Macaca mulatta: one gene and its partners. The main gene of each other region encodes a partner of the protein of the gene in region 2 in a complex. Links are inferred from orthologs where the notes say so. Each region holds a gene or a part of one and is shown on either strand. Other genes may lie near its edges.

The links.
Region 1: DHX16 (region 2) and SNRNP40 share a complex: the UniProt entries of both Homo sapiens proteins name them as parts of the minor spliceosome. The link is inferred for Macaca mulatta from reciprocal best matches to the Homo sapiens genes DHX16 and SNRNP40.
Region 3: DHX16 (region 2) and CRNKL1 share a complex: the UniProt entries of both Homo sapiens proteins name them as parts of the minor spliceosome. The link is inferred for Macaca mulatta from reciprocal best matches to the Homo sapiens genes DHX16 and CRNKL1.
Region 4: DHX16 (region 2) and PLRG1 share a complex: the UniProt entries of both Homo sapiens proteins name them as parts of the minor spliceosome. The link is inferred for Macaca mulatta from reciprocal best matches to the Homo sapiens genes DHX16 and PLRG1.

The regions. Positions count from the first base shown.
Region 1 is NC_133406.1:209,565,213-209,569,573, reverse strand, and holds the start of SNRNP40 (U5 small nuclear ribonucleoprotein 40 kDa protein), read right to left. Parts: upstream 2,820-4,361; 5' UTR 2,808-2,819; coding exon 2,667-2,807; intron 1-2,666. Other genes in the region: ZCCHC17 (zinc finger CCHC domain-containing protein 17), read left to right, coding at 3,138-3,257, 3,806-3,817. UniProt on the Homo sapiens protein: Required for pre-mRNA splicing as component of the activated spliceosome. Component of the U5 small nuclear ribonucleoprotein (snRNP) complex and the U4/U6-U5 tri-snRNP complex, building blocks of the spliceosome.
Region 2 is NC_133409.1:152,373,160-152,377,489, reverse strand, and holds the start of DHX16 (pre-mRNA-splicing factor ATP-dependent RNA helicase DHX16), read right to left. Parts: upstream 2,856-4,330; coding exon 2,649-2,855; intron 1,246-2,648; coding exon 998-1,245; intron 915-997; coding exon 752-914; intron 412-751; coding exon 355-411; intron 1-354. UniProt on the Homo sapiens protein: Required for pre-mRNA splicing as a component of the spliceosome. Contributes to pre-mRNA splicing after spliceosome formation and prior to the first transesterification reaction.
Region 3 is NC_133415.1:63,982,897-63,986,459, reverse strand, and holds part of CRNKL1 (crooked neck-like protein 1), read right to left. Parts: intron 3,098-3,563; coding exon 2,906-3,097; intron 2,209-2,905; coding exon 2,149-2,208; intron 1,351-2,148; coding exon 1,270-1,350; intron 385-1,269; coding exon 145-384; intron 1-144. UniProt on the Homo sapiens protein: Involved in pre-mRNA splicing process. As a component of the minor spliceosome, involved in the splicing of U12-type introns in pre-mRNAs.
Region 4 is NC_133410.1:163,136,354-163,139,916, forward strand, and holds part of PLRG1 (pleiotropic regulator 1), read right to left. Parts: exon of another isoform or gene 3,530-3,563; intron 1,771-3,529; coding exon 1,678-1,770; intron 123-1,677; coding exon 1-122. UniProt on the Homo sapiens protein: Involved in pre-mRNA splicing as component of the spliceosome. Component of the PRP19-CDC5L complex that forms an integral part of the spliceosome and is required for activating pre-mRNA splicing.

The DNA of each region.
Region 1 (4,361 bases), on a different chromosome or scaffold from region 2:
TTTTGTGTGTGTGTTTTGAGACACAGTCTTGCTCTGTCACCCAGGTTGGCATGCAGTGGCGTGATCTCGGCTCACTGCAACCTCTGCTTTCTGGGTTCAAGGGATCTGGTGCCTCAGCCTCCCGAGCAGCCAAGATTACAGGCATGCACAACCATGCCCAGCTAGTTTTTGCATTTTTAGTAGAGATGGGGTTTCACCATGTTGGCCAGGCTGGTCTCAAACTCCCAGCCTCAAGTGATCTGCCTGCCTTGGCCTCCCAGAGTGCTGAGATTACAGGCATGAGCCACTGCGCATGGCCTATTTTTCTTTCTTATTTTTTTCATAGCGAAGGGATCCTCAGCACGGGTGAAGTAGTTTTGATTATGGTCTTGGACACTAAGATGACACTTGGGCAATTCATCTAAACATGGGCTGATATGCTCACTTGTCAAATGGGAGAAGTATACTACCCATAATCCCCAAATCTCTTCAGCACTTTCCAGCACATTCTTACTTATTTATTTATTGGGAAGGAGTCTTGCTCTGTTGCCCAGGCTGGAGTACAATGGCATGATCTCATCTCATTGCAAACTCCGCCTCCTGGGTTCAGGCGATTCTCCTGCATCAGCCTCCTGAGTGGCTGGGATTACAGGTGCCCGCCACCAAGCCCCGCCACATTCATTTAGTTTTAAAAAATGTTATGTGCAGGCTGGGCACGGTGGCTCACACCTGTAATCCCAGCACTTGGGGAGGCTGAGGTGGGCAGATCACTTGAGGTTAAGAGTTTGAGACCAGCCTGACCAACATGGTGAAACCCCATCTGTACTTAAAAAAACACAAAAACTAGCCAGGCGTGGTGGTGGGCGCCTGTAATTCCAGCCACTCGGGAGGCTGAGGCAGGAGAATCGCTTGAACCCGGGAGGCGGAGGTTGTAGTGCGCTGAGATCGCGCCATTCCACTCCAGCCTGGGTGACAAAAGCAAAATCCCATCTTAAAAATAAAAAGTTATGTGCTAGGCACTGGGCAAACAGCTATGAACAAAATAAACAATGGAGCTTGCTGTTCCAGTGGGAAAGGGGGAAGGGAGGAGAGAAGGTGAGAGAAAACAAGCAAAATATATACTTGGTGTCATGTGCTATAGAAAAAAAGAAGGGATGGGCAAGGTGGCTCATGCCTGTAATCTCAGCACTTTGGGAGGCCAAGGTGTGCAGATTGCTTGAGCTCAGGAGTGAAATCCTGTCTCTACAAAAAAATACAATACAATTAGGTGTGGTGGTCTGTGTCTGTGGTCCCAGCTATTCAGGAGGCTGAGGCAGAAGGATTACTTGATCCCTGGTGGCGGAGGATGCAGCGAGCCAGTGGTCAACACAGAGAGATTCTATCTCAAAAGAAAAAAGAGAGAGAGAGAGAGAGAGAGAGAGAGAGAGAGAGAGAGAGAGAAGCAATGTGGGTTCCACATTATGTGGTACTGCAATTTAAAACAGGGTGGTCAGGAAAACCCTCACTGAAAAAATTATATTTGGGCAAATATTCGCAGGAGCTGAATAATAAACCATGTGAACATTTGGGAAGAGCAATCCCATAGGGAGGACAGCAAATGCAAAGGTCCAGAGGCAGAGGTTTGGAAGAGAGTGTAACTGAAGCCGGGTGAGCAATGAGAAATTGGTCAGAGAGGTAAAGGGAAAGAGGACAAATAATTATAAGAATTTTGGTTTTTACTCTGGATGAAGTAGAAAGCCACCAGAAAGTTTTCTGCAGAATGTAATGTGATCCGTTGTTTAGAAGGATTCCTTTGGTTATTGGCTTGGTAACAGGTGCTGCTACAAAGGCAGAAAGTGGAAGACCAGTTAGGGTCCCACTACAAAAATGCCAGATGAGATAATAACGGCTTAGGCCATGAGGCAGTGATGGAAATGGTAGAAGTAGCAATTCTAGATCTATTTTGAGAACGGTGCCAGCAGGATTTATTGAGGAGATGAGAGGACACTCGTATTTCCTCGTCTGAGCCTAAACAGGGCATTAGAAGTGTGATCACTATTTCCATCTTACAAAAAATATAGTTAGGAGCATGGTTTCTCAGTTCAACATCTGTTTCTATCACGTGCTTGATAAGTCTGCTTTTCCATCTGCAAAATGGGTTAATAACGTTCCTAACAGGCTGCTACCAAGATCAATGGAAATTTCATATACGAAACACCTTAGTACAAGAGTCAACGAATGTTAGCTGCTATTCAGTTGTTAATAATACTAGTGCAGAGAAATAAAGGGAAAAGCAACTTGCCCAAAGTCCCAAAACGAGCCAACACCAATCATTTCCCTCTTTTCCTCCCTCCCTCATTCATTCATTCTACAAAGTCTTCGGAATTTCTGTTCTACGCTAGATCCATGTTAGAGTCAGGATGCTTAAGCCCGGGTCCGGGTTGTGAGCCCAAGGTTCTCAACGCTAATTCTAACGCTACCTCACAAGGCAGTCGAGAGGCTGAAAACCAGCGCCAAACGGGCGAACAAGTACTGAGCATCCGCAGGCTATGAGGCGCTTTTACAATGTTGGTGTGCTTTAACTCTAGGTAGAAACTCTCGTTCTGCCCCCCGCAATGCGGGAAGGGTCGGTGCCGGGTCACCAGATACAGCGCTCTGAGGGGAGGAAGATGAGCTGAGGGCCAAAGGCCGCCTGCTTCTTCACTTACCGCTTGCAGCAAAGCTCCCGGCGTCGCCTGCTGCTGCCCGGCTCCCGGGCCCGACCCCGCTCCCAGTAGCAACTCATGCCGCTGCCGCTTGACTGGAACCAGCGGCAACTCTGGGCCCTTACGCTTCTGTTGTTCTATCATGGCGGCAACCGGTCTCTTCAGCGCCGCCACTGACCGCGCTGCCCCCCTCAGGCGCCACGCAATTGGTTCCAGCTTAGTCCTTCCTCCACAACTTCCAGCTTGGAAGAACCAATCGGTTTTCAATATACCCATTTGCACTGCCCTCGGATAGTCTCTTGTTATTGGGCATATCTTTCTGACGTCATGAGAGTGCGATTCCAGGATTGGTGGACGGAGCTGGCGACCTCCCTAGGCGCGCTGGGTCTTGTGGGTGGAAACGCGCTGGCTGACTGGGCTCGGCGTTTAGTTCAGCGCCGGGACTCGGGGGCCTGGAGCTGACGCCTAGTACGTATGAGGAAGAGCTGGGTGGGTGGCAGCCTGAGTCTGAAGGCGACGCCTCGGTTGTGCAGTCTGAAGCTGCCCTTCTCAGCTGAGGGTGCCGATAGCAAGGGGTGGGAGGCGGGGCCCCGAGTCCCCAGCTGTGGTAAGTAGTAGCATGGGCTCCCTTTCCGGGCGGGAGCGGAGCCTTGGGGGTCTCTGGCGGCAAGACCCAGTCCCTGCGGCTCCCTTCTTCAAGAGCGCCCGTCGTGGCCAGTCCTGTGCCGGGCATTCCCAGGGAGAAAGGCCTGTGTCCCAACTTCCTCCGGCGCCCCGTTTGGCCGAGGAGGCTGACTTGTTTCTGCCACTGATTTTGCAGTTTTTGATTAGGGCCTAGTCTCTGCCCCCCTGAGAGAGACAATGATGAAGGAAATGTCCGACTCCTTCTCCAGAGCGCAGTCTTGTTGAGAAATTTGAGACTCATGCCCATGAACGTGGTCATTGCGTCAGTCGTCCAGCTGATATTTATTTAGCAGCGCGTTGGGGGTACGTCGTGAACCAGACACGGTCCCTACTCTCAGGGCGTTTAAGTCTGGTGGGGAAAACGTTAAACAATGACCTCACTAATACATGGAAATGCCTCCTAGTGCTGTTTGATGCTGAGTGCCTGAAATAAGCAGGAAGGTTTTTCAGAGGAAAAGATGCCTGCTCTGGTAGCTGCAGGAAGAATTGTAATTAATTAAGTGAAGAGGTAAAGGCAGAACCTTCCGTAGAGAACTACTTGTTCAGAGCCCTGAGGCACTTGGGAGGAAAAATGACTAAAAGCACAAAGAGCCAGTGTGACTGATACAAAGAGAATGAAGGGGAGTATGGTACAAGATGAAGCTGTACGTGATAGCGGTCAGACCTTGCAGGAATTTGTAGCTTTATTTTAAAACGGATGGGATACCACTGAGCCGTCTTCCCCCGGTGGGGTGTGGTGGAGGAGGGGGCTTGATTTCTCAGGCTCAGTGGTGTGAACAGATTGGGGCTGGGGAAGCCCTAGTCGATACATGTGGACCACTTAGGATATACAGTAATCCTGGTCAGAGATGTCAGTGAGGACTGAGAAGTGGGTGGAACTGCAGAGAATTGGACAGATTCTAGAGGTATGTAGGAGGTAAAATGGGCGGAACTTGGTGAAGGGTTGATTTTAGTGAGTGAAGACAGGAATCAAAGGTAACTCATAGGTTTCTGGCTTATGTAGTTGAATAGATA
Region 2 (4,330 bases):
CCAGCAACCTTCTTGACAACATTCCAGCTGCCTCACATCTCATTAGGACTCAGGAATAGGGAAAGCTCACAACTTCATTCACTAATAGAGTATGTTTGATCCTAAAGTTAAGAGTCAAGGAGGACTTATGGGTAGCCTCCTTTCCCCTACAACTTAAGAGGGCTCCTTCCCTCGACAACATAAGTCTGTCCTCAGCTGGCTCCTGACAACCAAGCCCCTCCTCTAGAGACCTGACCACTCCATCAGCATCCACACCGTGCTTCCTCTGTATTCTCTCTCCCTATACGTAACCACTCTATCAGACGGTCTTCCCTTTTGTCTTCTGATCTTGGCTCCCTGGGCCCTGGGACTCACCATGGCCTTCCGGTCCTCCTCGGCCATCTTGAGGCGCTTCTGAGCTTCTTCATAAGCCTAGAAAAAAAAAAAAAACAAGAATGGAGGGGTGTGAGGCCAAAGAGCCCCCACACTGACAGCTGCTCCTCTTTAGAATCACAAGGATCATTCAGATGTACCCTAACACAAAAAATGTCCCCTCTCAGTGAGGGATCTGTACGATTGCAGATACAGTAGAGAGTTGCCTTAGCCACAGGATGCACAGGGCTTCTCTCACCTCATCTCTCCCCACAGAGGTGAACATCTCACTAGAGAAAGCCCCTTGTCTTCCCAGAGATCACCATCTCTGCAATCACAGCCAACCTCACATTTCACCCTGGGATCTTGGGGATTTACAGAACGTGCTGCTCCTGTTCACCTTCTTGTCTGACCGCTCCAGGACATTTCGAGTCCGATCCTTGTCCCGCTGTCGAACCCTCTCAGCAAAGGCATCACGCTCCTCCAGGTCCTGAAGGCGCTCACGCTCTGTCCGTTCCCACTCATCTTCTGACTCTGGCTTCTCTGTCTGCTGTTTACTCCCCCTGCAGCCCATCCAGGGGATTAAATAAGGGCATCGAGCACACTTCAGCCTGCCCCATCCTCCCTCGCCCTGCTTCTGACTTACCCTGTTTTCTTCTTCCCTTTCTCAGAAGCCTCTTCCTCCTCTTCTTCCTCCTCTTCCTCACGCTTCTTCCTGAGGTGTTTCCGCTTTTTACGTTTCTTCTGGAGGCTGCTTCCAGCCCTACTCACAGTCTCCTCACTGCTCTCTTCACTGTCTTCCAACAACCTATAAGATCGGTTCTTCTCCAGCAGGGCTCGGGCCTCTCGCTCTGCTGCCCGCGCTGGCTTTTCTACCACTGCCTTTCGTGGTACCTGTCAGTAGAGGGGAAGATAAGGAGGTCTGAGCAACTCCTGATCTCTGCCCTCCCACTTAGCTCTAGCTCTGTTCCTAATTTAAGCAATTACTTAGTCTCCCCCCGCCCGCCGAGATGGAGTCTTGGTCTGTCACCCGGAGCTGGAGTGCAATGGTGTGATCTCGGCTCACTTCAACCTCCACCTCCTAGGTTCAAGCAATTCTCCTGCCTCAGCCTCCCAAGTAGCTGGGATTACAGGCGCCTGCCACCACACCTGACTAATTTCTGTATTTTTAGTAGAGATGAGGTTTCACCATGTTGGCCAGGTTGGTCTCAAACTCCTGACCTCATGATCCAGTTGCCTGGGCCTCCCAAAGTGCTGGGATTACAGGCGTGAGCCACCGCACCCGGGCACAATTACTTAGTTTTAAACCAGCTAACCAGCCTTCATTCTGTCTTCCTCATGGCTTCACCCCATGTTTATCATCCTGAATGGGGCCCACAGCTTTTTGGCTTTTTTTACAGACAGGGTTTCACTCTGTCCCTCTTGGGCTCAAGTGATCCTCCCACCTCAGGCTCCTAAGTAGCTGGAAACACAGGTGCACACTACAACGCCCAATTAATTTTTAAATTTTTTGTAGGGAGGTTTCACTATGTTGCCCAGGCTGGTCTCGAACTCCTGGGCTCAAATGATCCTCCTGCCTCAGCCTTCTGGGGTGCTGGGATTACAGGTGTGAGCCACTGCACCGGGCCTCCTCTGTTAATTAAACGGCTGAAAGGAAGTTCAGAAGCTGAGGGGGGACGGGCAAGGTGGCTCACGCCTGTAATCCCAGCACTTTGCGGGGCTGAGAGAGGAGGACTGCTTGAGCTGAGGAGTTAGAGACCAGCCTGCGCAACACACCAAGGCCTCGTCTCTAAAAATAAAAATAAAAATGAAAGATATTAGCCGGGGGTGGTGGCGCATGCCCATAGTCCCAGCTACTGGGGAAGATGAGATGGGAGGGTCGCTTCAGCCAGGGAGATCGACGCTGTAGTGAGCCGTGATCTTATGACCGCACTCCAGCCTGGGCGACAGGGCGAGCGAGGCTGTGTCTCTCAAAAAAAAAAAAAAAGGAAAGAAAGAAAGAAAAAGAAAGAAATGCAGAAACTAAGATCCCTACTGAATCGCAATCTGCATTTTAACAAGGGCCCTGGATGCATGTTAAGAGTTCGAAAAACACCGTTCTATTGCGTTTAACCCGACACACCTAAGCCCTCCTCAATCTTCTCCACTGAGCTGGGCGTCCAGCAGCTAGCACAGTACCTAGGCGACAACGGACAAAGAATAAGTGCTTGTGAACTGAGCTTTCTTAACTCCTCGATGGACCGTTAGGCCAGCCTCATCGGGACAAATCACAGGACCCCTCCCCACCCTGCCGACACCTTGTTCCAGAGTCTCAGGGCGAAGTCCCGGGCCGGCCCACTGAGATCCAAAGTATCAGTGTCTCGTAGGCGCTGCACGAACTCCTCGGCCGACGTGCAGCGCTGTGCAGTACCGATCAGGAACTGGGCGACGTGCCGCTCGCTCAGCCCCAACACCGAGTGCAGCTCGTCCTGAACCCAGCGCTCCAGCCCCGCCGGCGTCGCCATGGCGACCCACGCTCCCTGCTCCCAGCCCTGAAGCGTCGGGCAGCCCCGTTCACTGCTGGGCCAGTCGGAGGCCTGGAGCCCTCGGCTGGAGCCTCAGCTTCGCAAGGCGGCTACCTTGGGACCTCTAGGATCAATTTCCGACATCCCAAAGCCGTCGTCCGGTACCGCAAAGCCCGGAAGGGGCTGCACTTTTTCCGGCCTCTAAGCACTACGGTGGCCGAGCGAGTTCAAACCTCGCGGAACCATGCCTGAAAGTTCGGAGTAATTCTTTTTTCTTCATTTCCGCCTCTATCCAGTTTCTCTGACGCCCCCTGATGGTCAGTCCGTGAGTGCTTCCCTAACGCATTCATTCAACAAGTGAAATCAATTTAATGGAGGCCTAATGTGTGCTCATTGCTTTCCGTCGCTGGGATCTAGCAGAGGACAAATCAAAAGTTCCTTACCAAATTTACATTTTGCGGTGGGGGAGGGACAGGATACATAATAAATAAAGTATGGAAGTTTTATAGCGCCAAAAACTCTGCAAAGTAAGGGACAACCGAAATTCTATTTCAGATTGGAAGATGGGGTCCATGCTCATGAAGCATATTAGCCGTGTTGGCCGGGCGCGGTGGCTCACGCCTGTAATCCCAGCACTTTGGGAAGCCAAGACGGGCAGATCACTTGAGGTCAGGAGTTCGAGGCCAGCCTGGCCAAGATGGCTAAACCCTGTCTCTACTAAAAATATAAAAATTAGCCGGGTGTGGTGGCGTGCGCCTGCAGCCCCAGGTACTCGGGAGGCTGAGGCAGGAGAATCGTTTGTACCTGCGAAGCGGAGCTTGCAGTGAACCGAGATCCCACCACTGCACTCCAGCCTGAGCGACAGAGGAAGACTCTGTCTCAAACAAACAAAAAAGTGACCTTTGCTAGGATTGGTTTGCCTGCAGCAGGAGTGAAGACAGGTCAGGCATAAGGGAAGACCTCTAGGCAGGAAGAAACTGGGGAACTGGGGAAAATTTTTTTTTTTTTTTTTTTTTTTTTTTTTTTTTTTTTTGAGACGGAGTCTCGCTCTGTCACCCAGGCTGGAGCACAGTGGCCGGATCTCAGCTCACTGCAAGCTCCGCCTCCCGGGTTCACGCCATTCTCCTGCCTCAGCCTCCCAAGTAGCTGGGACTACAGGCGCCCGCCACCTCGCCCGGCTAGTTTTTTGTACTTTTTCGTAGAGACGGGGTTTCACCGTATTAACCAGGATGGTCTCGATCTCCTGACCTTGTGATCCGCCCGTCTCGGCCTCCCAAAGTGCTGGGATTACAGGCTTGAGCCACCGCGCCCAGCCCAGGAAAATTGTTAAAGACAAAATCTCCAAACTAAGGAACAGGCAAACTGTTTTCTGCATTTTTGCTAACATCTTGAGAAAATCACTGGTGGCTGCTTATTTAAAAGTAAGCAAGGCCAGGTGCAGTGGCTCTTCCTATAATCCCAGCACTTTGGGAGGC
Region 3 (3,563 bases), on a different chromosome or scaffold from region 2:
TTTCCACATACAAGCCTAATCTGAGCAGAAGAGACTAAGTTAGCTAGATCATCTTTATACTCTAAAATACACCCACATTTAGACGGTCATCTAAAGTAAGACTAAACAAGTATCTTAAAATGGTATTTGACTTGAGATGCTCACCTCTGGCATGTCTAAACGTGGCTGACTGATGGCTAATTCATAGATTGCCCGTGCTCTGTCAATATCACCAAGGATTGTCTCTAATTCAGCAAATTTAATCCACGAGGTACAATTTTCAGGTCCGAATTCCAGGAACTTTTCATAAAGCTTCCGGCATCTGTCAAATTCTCGAAGCTGTAGCTCCAACTCTATGTAAACTTTAAATAATTTGTTTTTTGGACATTTGCCTATGGAAGTTCCCTGGAAAATAAAATAACCAGACCACTATGATACTGTAGTGGATTCAATTTGTGCAGTTATTGCACTGCCCTAGAGGCTGTCCTCTGCTGAGGAAGAATCTTGCAAAGTCAACGTGGCCTACCGTTCTTTCCCTCTGTGGTATCACAATGTTTACTGATTCTTGACAAAAGGCTGAAGGAAACTCCTCTAATTCATTCAGCAAGAGGCAGTGTTCCAGAATTGTTTGGGCAACTAAATAAAATAAGATTTGAAAGTTTCTCAGGATCTCCTAGGGAATATGGATGTCAGATGCATAACACCTCCTATAAATAAAAAGGACAAGGCATGGTGGCTCATGCCTGTAATCCCAGTATTCTGAGAGGCCAACGTGGGAGGATTATTTCAGCCCAGGAGGCAGAGTTTGCAGTGAGCCAAGATTCCAAGATTGTGCCACTGCATTCCAGCTTGCGGAACAGAGCGAGACCCTGTCTCAAAAAAAAAAAAAAAACAAAAAAACAAAACAAAACAAAAAAAACCAATAAACAGGAAAAGGAAAAAAAAAAAGGAAAAAAAAAAGTAGAACAATTAAAAGTGCGTTTAATACACCAAAAAGCTTGCACAGGATCAGATTACCAATTCTAGTCTGTGGAAAGATCTAGTAACCGGTAGCTAGAGAAGTTTCCAATATTGAAACAAAATGTAATTTACCCCAGGTAATAAGAATAATTTACGCATTATTAGTCAGTGTTTTTACAGAGGATGCATATTTTCTAACATGTCCCAGGCTATAAAGGTATAATACTTCTGTCACTTTCTAAAGTAGGAATTGTATAACTTCCAAGCACCAAGACTTTAATTTCTTTCTCATAGAACTTAATCAGACATCTTGATCCTTTCTTTACTTACCAATGCTCTTCTGGCTAATGACAGATTCTTCTGTCGTATTTCAAACTGTGCATACAGTATCCACATTTTGGCAAATGTGAACTAGAAAACAAAAGCACAAAAATATCTAGCTTAAAAGCCTCATCCAAATTAAATTGAATTAAAGTAAATTTAAATTAACCAAGGCCATTGGTAATTCTATTTCTCTAAAACTTCAGAGTAAGAGGAATGTACTCTGCTTATTTACAAGCAAAAAAGACCACATTCATTTCACAAAAGCTAGAAACCCACATCCCATGATCCAGATACTGCACTGTACTGCCTGGCATGGTAGCCTCTCCTCAGAATCATGATCCAAATACTGTACTGTACTGCATGGCACGATAGCCTCTACTCAGAACAGACTTTGTTTTGTAGGCATGCTTGTATGTGGGCAGAATGTCCTACCTCTATTCTGAAAAGTAACTCTGTCAACACTTCTACAGAAAGAAACACGTTTTGTTTCTCGTGCTGGGAAACAAGGCAGAGGTAACATCTCAACCATCTACACAAGGGGCACATTGATCTGGGCATGGACACACTCGCTGTTACCAACAAATCTGCCTCTGTGTCCCCGACACATGTTGTGTGCTCTCTGCATGGAAATCTTTCTCCCTCCACTCAGACTATTCAAATTACCTAGCCTTCTCTGAATTTCCTTTGTTTGTCAATGCAGGCAGTCCTCCGACCTAGACTGTGAGCTGTGTTCAGAGGCAAGGTGCATATCTCAGTTTTACTTACGTTGTCCATGGTGGGTCAGGGAAATATTTTATCAATCAATATTATTTCACTGAGTTACTTCACAAGTAACAGAAGAGGATTCCGACCTGTTTGAAATGGAACACTTTAGAGCAAACATACCTTTTTGTGAGGAATGAGTTCCAAAGAGGCTTGATACACCTGTCTTGTCCTCTCAGGATCCTGTATTAGGATAAGAAATTTTCACAAAATACTGAAGTCTGCTGCTAACACTCATTTTACTAGTTACTAATTTTGCTGATACTAGTAAAAAGGTACATCCCCAAAACTGAGTATGTTTCACAAGTTGTTACTTGCCAACCCTGATTTATGATCTAAAGTATGAACGGCCATGAAACTTCAGTTTAAGAATCACCAACAAGACACCAAACTCTAAGCCCTTCTTTGTAGAAAGCCTTTTTGCCTGATGGCAGAAAGAAACAAAGACATTTCGTAGTCTCAGATCAAACCCAGAAAGTTAATACAAATGATTTCTGAAAATGCCACTTGAGTTTTCCTAAAAGCAAAAATGCATAATCTAGCCATAATTACCCCTATTAATGAGCAAATCCAGGAAACTATATTTAATTAAACTAAGGGCTGGTTCACCGTTCTCTTTCAAGTTCCAAGTGATATCTTGTTGTGCCTCAAGTAAAAATCAAACCAAAATAAGAAAAGCCCCTCACGTGTGGCCATAACAAGCACAGAGAGTTTAAAATGTTGCAGAGTGAACATCTAACTGTATGGCTTGAACAGAAGCCTATAAAAATTTAAAACTAAATTTCCTTGTTTCAAGAATTATAAATATCCACAATAGGTGAGCTGTGAATACAGAGCAGAGGAAACCATTAACAGCTGACACATAATTCTGTTTTTTCACCTTTGCCTCCAATTCTTCATAGAGTGCATAGTTGATCCAAAGATAAATGTAGCGCTTCCAGTGCCTCTTCTCCTGAATGGGTGGGACATTGGCAATGGCCCTTTCATAGACTTCTCTCACGGCTTCAGCTTCTGCATCACTTTCTACCAAGCGCAAGTAATCAAACCATGCATCGTAATTGTGTGGATTCGCCTAGAAAGACAACCAGTTTAATAAATAAAAAAAAAAACCAAGAGCTGCACTTGCCAGGTTAAGCAAGCTGAAAAAAGGCATCAGGCCGACTTTCTTTATTTTAGCACCTTTTCTTCTAAATTTTACATGTTCTCTCATTTTAAAAACACCATCCCTGAGACTGCATAAATAGAAAAGACACAGGAATACAGAGGTTAGATTACTGGCCAGGTGTCCCACAGCAAGCACCCCTTCATCTATAGTCATCACTCTCATGATAGTCAATAATTAGATGCCTATTCTTACCAATGCATTTGCTTAAATATGTGACTATGTATCATTATGTCTGTAACAACAATAGAATTATATCATGCTCACAATTGTTAAACTTGCCTTTCCAATGAACAGTAATTCATCTTTCACGTATCTTGCCAACCTAGCACCACATTTAATAACAGATTTAGTCCTTTGCTTGGAGGTATCTTAA
Region 4 (3,563 bases), on a different chromosome or scaffold from region 2:
ACTTGTTTGTCTTCTCCACAAGAGAACAGGTATGGGCTCCTCGTGCTTACTATCACGCCCCGCACAGTACTAATATGCCCAGTCAATGACAGTTTTAATTTGCCACTAGCCAAGTCCCAGATCTGCAATCAAAGAATATTTTTTTTCTTTCCCTGGTTACCGCAAAGCAAAATTTTAGAATCTTTATTATTAAAATTGAGTTTTCAAAGAGAAGAGGAAAAAGATAACGAATATGTAAAAATAAAAAATTTTGTAAAATGACTCCTCTCCAAATAAAAGCAAGAAAAAAACTGGCATGCTCAAACTGGAAAAATATTTGCAATTAGATGACAGGTTAACCTTCTTGTTATATAAATGGAATCTTTGATAATAATAGTATGAAAAGTATGGTATTAAATTAACCGAGGATGGCAACAACTTAAAGAAACCCTAAAAGCAGCAAATACAGATATGAAAAAGTTCAAACTCATTAGAAATTTTATACAAACTTTTTAGTTATTTATTTTTTGAGACAGAGTCTCACTCTGTCGCCCAGGTTGGAGTGCAGTGGCGCGATCTCAGCTCACTGCAAGCTCCACCTCCTGAGTTCACGGCATTTTCCTGCCTCAGCCTCTGAAGTAGCTGGGATTACAGGCGCCCACCACCATGCCCAGCTAATTTTTTGCATTTTTTAGTGGAGACGGGGTTTCACCGTGTTAGGCAGGCTGGTCTCGATCTCCTGACCTCATGATCTGCCCGCCTCAGCCTCCCAAAGTGTTGGGATTACAGGCGTGAGCCACTGCGCCCAGCCTATACAAACTTTTAAAAAAAGATTAAGTATCCATTTTTGCTTACCATATTAGATATTTGTAAAGGAATGTACAACCAATGTGCTGAAAAGGATCCTCCCATACACTGCAAGTATCCATTCACCCATTTGGAAAGTAATTTGTACTTTGGGTATCGGCTTCAAAAATATTTGACCCATTTATTACATTTAGGGAACTCTACCATAACAAAATAATTTAAAACACAGAAAAAGTCTTATATACAAAACTTAACAGCATTACTTGTAATGGTGAAAATCAGACTAAAAACTCTACCATCCAACAATAGGAAAACAGATTATAGACTATCCAAATGATACAATATTATGCAGGCACTTTAAAAGATAGTAAATTTTTCACAGGAATATGCCTTTGATAAAATGTTAAGGGAAAAAGCAAGATACAAAATTACATACTAAGAATGATTTTTAAAAGATACACACACAAGAAAAGAGCTTAGAAGTAAAGGCATTTATACTTACAGAAATAAATACTAAAATGAAACTTATCCAAGTATCTAACAATGGTAGGATTATACACAGGTCTATGTACTTTCATAATTCTCTATATTTTCCACATTTTCTATGAATGAGCACGCTCTTAATTTTGTAACCAGTTGGAGACAAAAATGTAAGTATAAAGGAATTAGTGGTAGGTATTCAGCAGGTAAAGAAAAAGTGGTTTAAATACCACTTTTCAAACAGATATTTATTTAGAACACTTACTCGTATAAATGATAAATTTTACTCCTTATTCAGGTCTAAAATAACAGAGGAACTGCAATAGCAATTCCTGCCACAGGAAATAGTAACTGATTAAACTTACATGACAAACACAAAGTCATGTTTATTTTTTCTTCCCTCATTATTACCTTTATAGTTCTGTCAGCAGACCCAGTAACAAACCACTGATTTCCAGGTTCCACAGCAATACATCGAACCCAGCCAAGATGCCCACTGATAACCTGTATAAAACAAAGTAGAACGGGCGGCTAACATACAAGTTAAAATGTTTTTAAGTTTAACTGCAGCCTGAGTTTGAATTGCCCTCCCATCTTCAAATCATAAATTTAAAAGATAATTTGACTGTTATATTTTACAATATTAAATTATCTTCAACAAGTTAATAGATACACAAATTGTGGCTCATCTATATAATGTATACTACTCAGTAATAAAAAGGAATACATTATTAATACTTGCAACAACTTCAGTGACTCACAAAGGTATTAAGCTGTGTGAAGGAAGCCAATCTCAAAAAGCACATTTTGTATGATTCCATTTATATGACATAGTCAAAAAGACAAAGCTAAACCAACCTAAGTGTCCATCAAGAGGTGAATGAATAAATAAAATGTGGTACATACACACAATGGAATACTACTCAGCCATTAAAAAGAATGAAATTCTGTCATTTGCAACAAGAAGGATGGAACTGGAAGATACTATGTTAAGTGAAATAAGCCAGGCACAGAAACACAAGTACTGCATGCTCTCTCTCATATATGGGAGCTAAAAAATAAATGATCTTGAGAGTTGAATGATGGCTAATAGAGGTTGGGAAGAATAGTAGGGAGGCAGAGGATAAAGAGGGAGTGGATAATGGGTATAAAAATACAGTTAGATAAAGGGAGTAAGATTTAGTGTTTGGTAGCACTAGTTTGGCTAGTTAGCTTGGTAGCACAATAGGGTGACTATAGCTAAGAATAATTTATTGTATATATCAAAATAACTAGAAGAGTAAAATGAAATGTTCCTAATACAAAGAAATAATATCCCAATTACCATGGAGATAAATATCCCCATTACTGTGATTTGATCATTCCACATTGTATGCTTTTTTTTCTTTGTTTCTTGTTTTGAGATAGGGTGTCACTGTGTTGCCCAGGCTGGAGTGCAGCAGTGTGATCCCGGCTCACTGCAACCTCCGCCTCCTGAGCCCAAGTGATCCTCCCACTTCAGCCTCTGGAGTAGCTGGAACTACAGGTGTGCACCACCACACATAGCTAATTTTTGTATTTTTTGTAGACGGGATTTTGTGGTGTTGCCCAGGCTGGTACTGAACTCCTGGACTCAAGAGATCCACTTGCCTAGGCCTCCCAAAGTACTGGGATTATAGGCATGAGCCACCATACCTGGCCTACACACTGTATGCTTGTATCAGATTTGATATGTAGCCCATAAATATGCACATCTATTATGTTAGCCATAAAAATTAAAAATAAATTAGAACTGAAATTATTGAAAAAAAATAAGACAACTATAGTGATAGAAAACAGATCAGTGATTGTCAGAGGTGAAGGAAGATATAACTACAAAAAAATAGCACAGGGGTGTTTTTTGAGGTGACGTAATGTCTATATCCTAATTGTGGTAGTGGTTACCCAAATCAATACATCTATTACAATTCATTAGACCTGTATGTCAAACAAAAAGCTCTTGCTGTACAATCATTTGAAAAATAAAAATTTTAAAATATATATTAAATTACGTGTAGTTGTACATTTTCTACTATGTACACTTTCTTAAAATTTTGTGTTTTTGTGGGTACGCAGTAGAAATATATTTATGGGGAAAATATATATTAAATTACGTGTAGTTGTACATTTTCTACTATGTACACTTTCTTTTTTAAAATTTTGTGTTTAATTTTTGTGGGTACGCAGTAGAAATATATTTATGGGGTACATGAGATATTTTGATACAGGCAAGCAATGCAAAATAAACAGTATGGAACACTTTACGAATCTGTGTTATC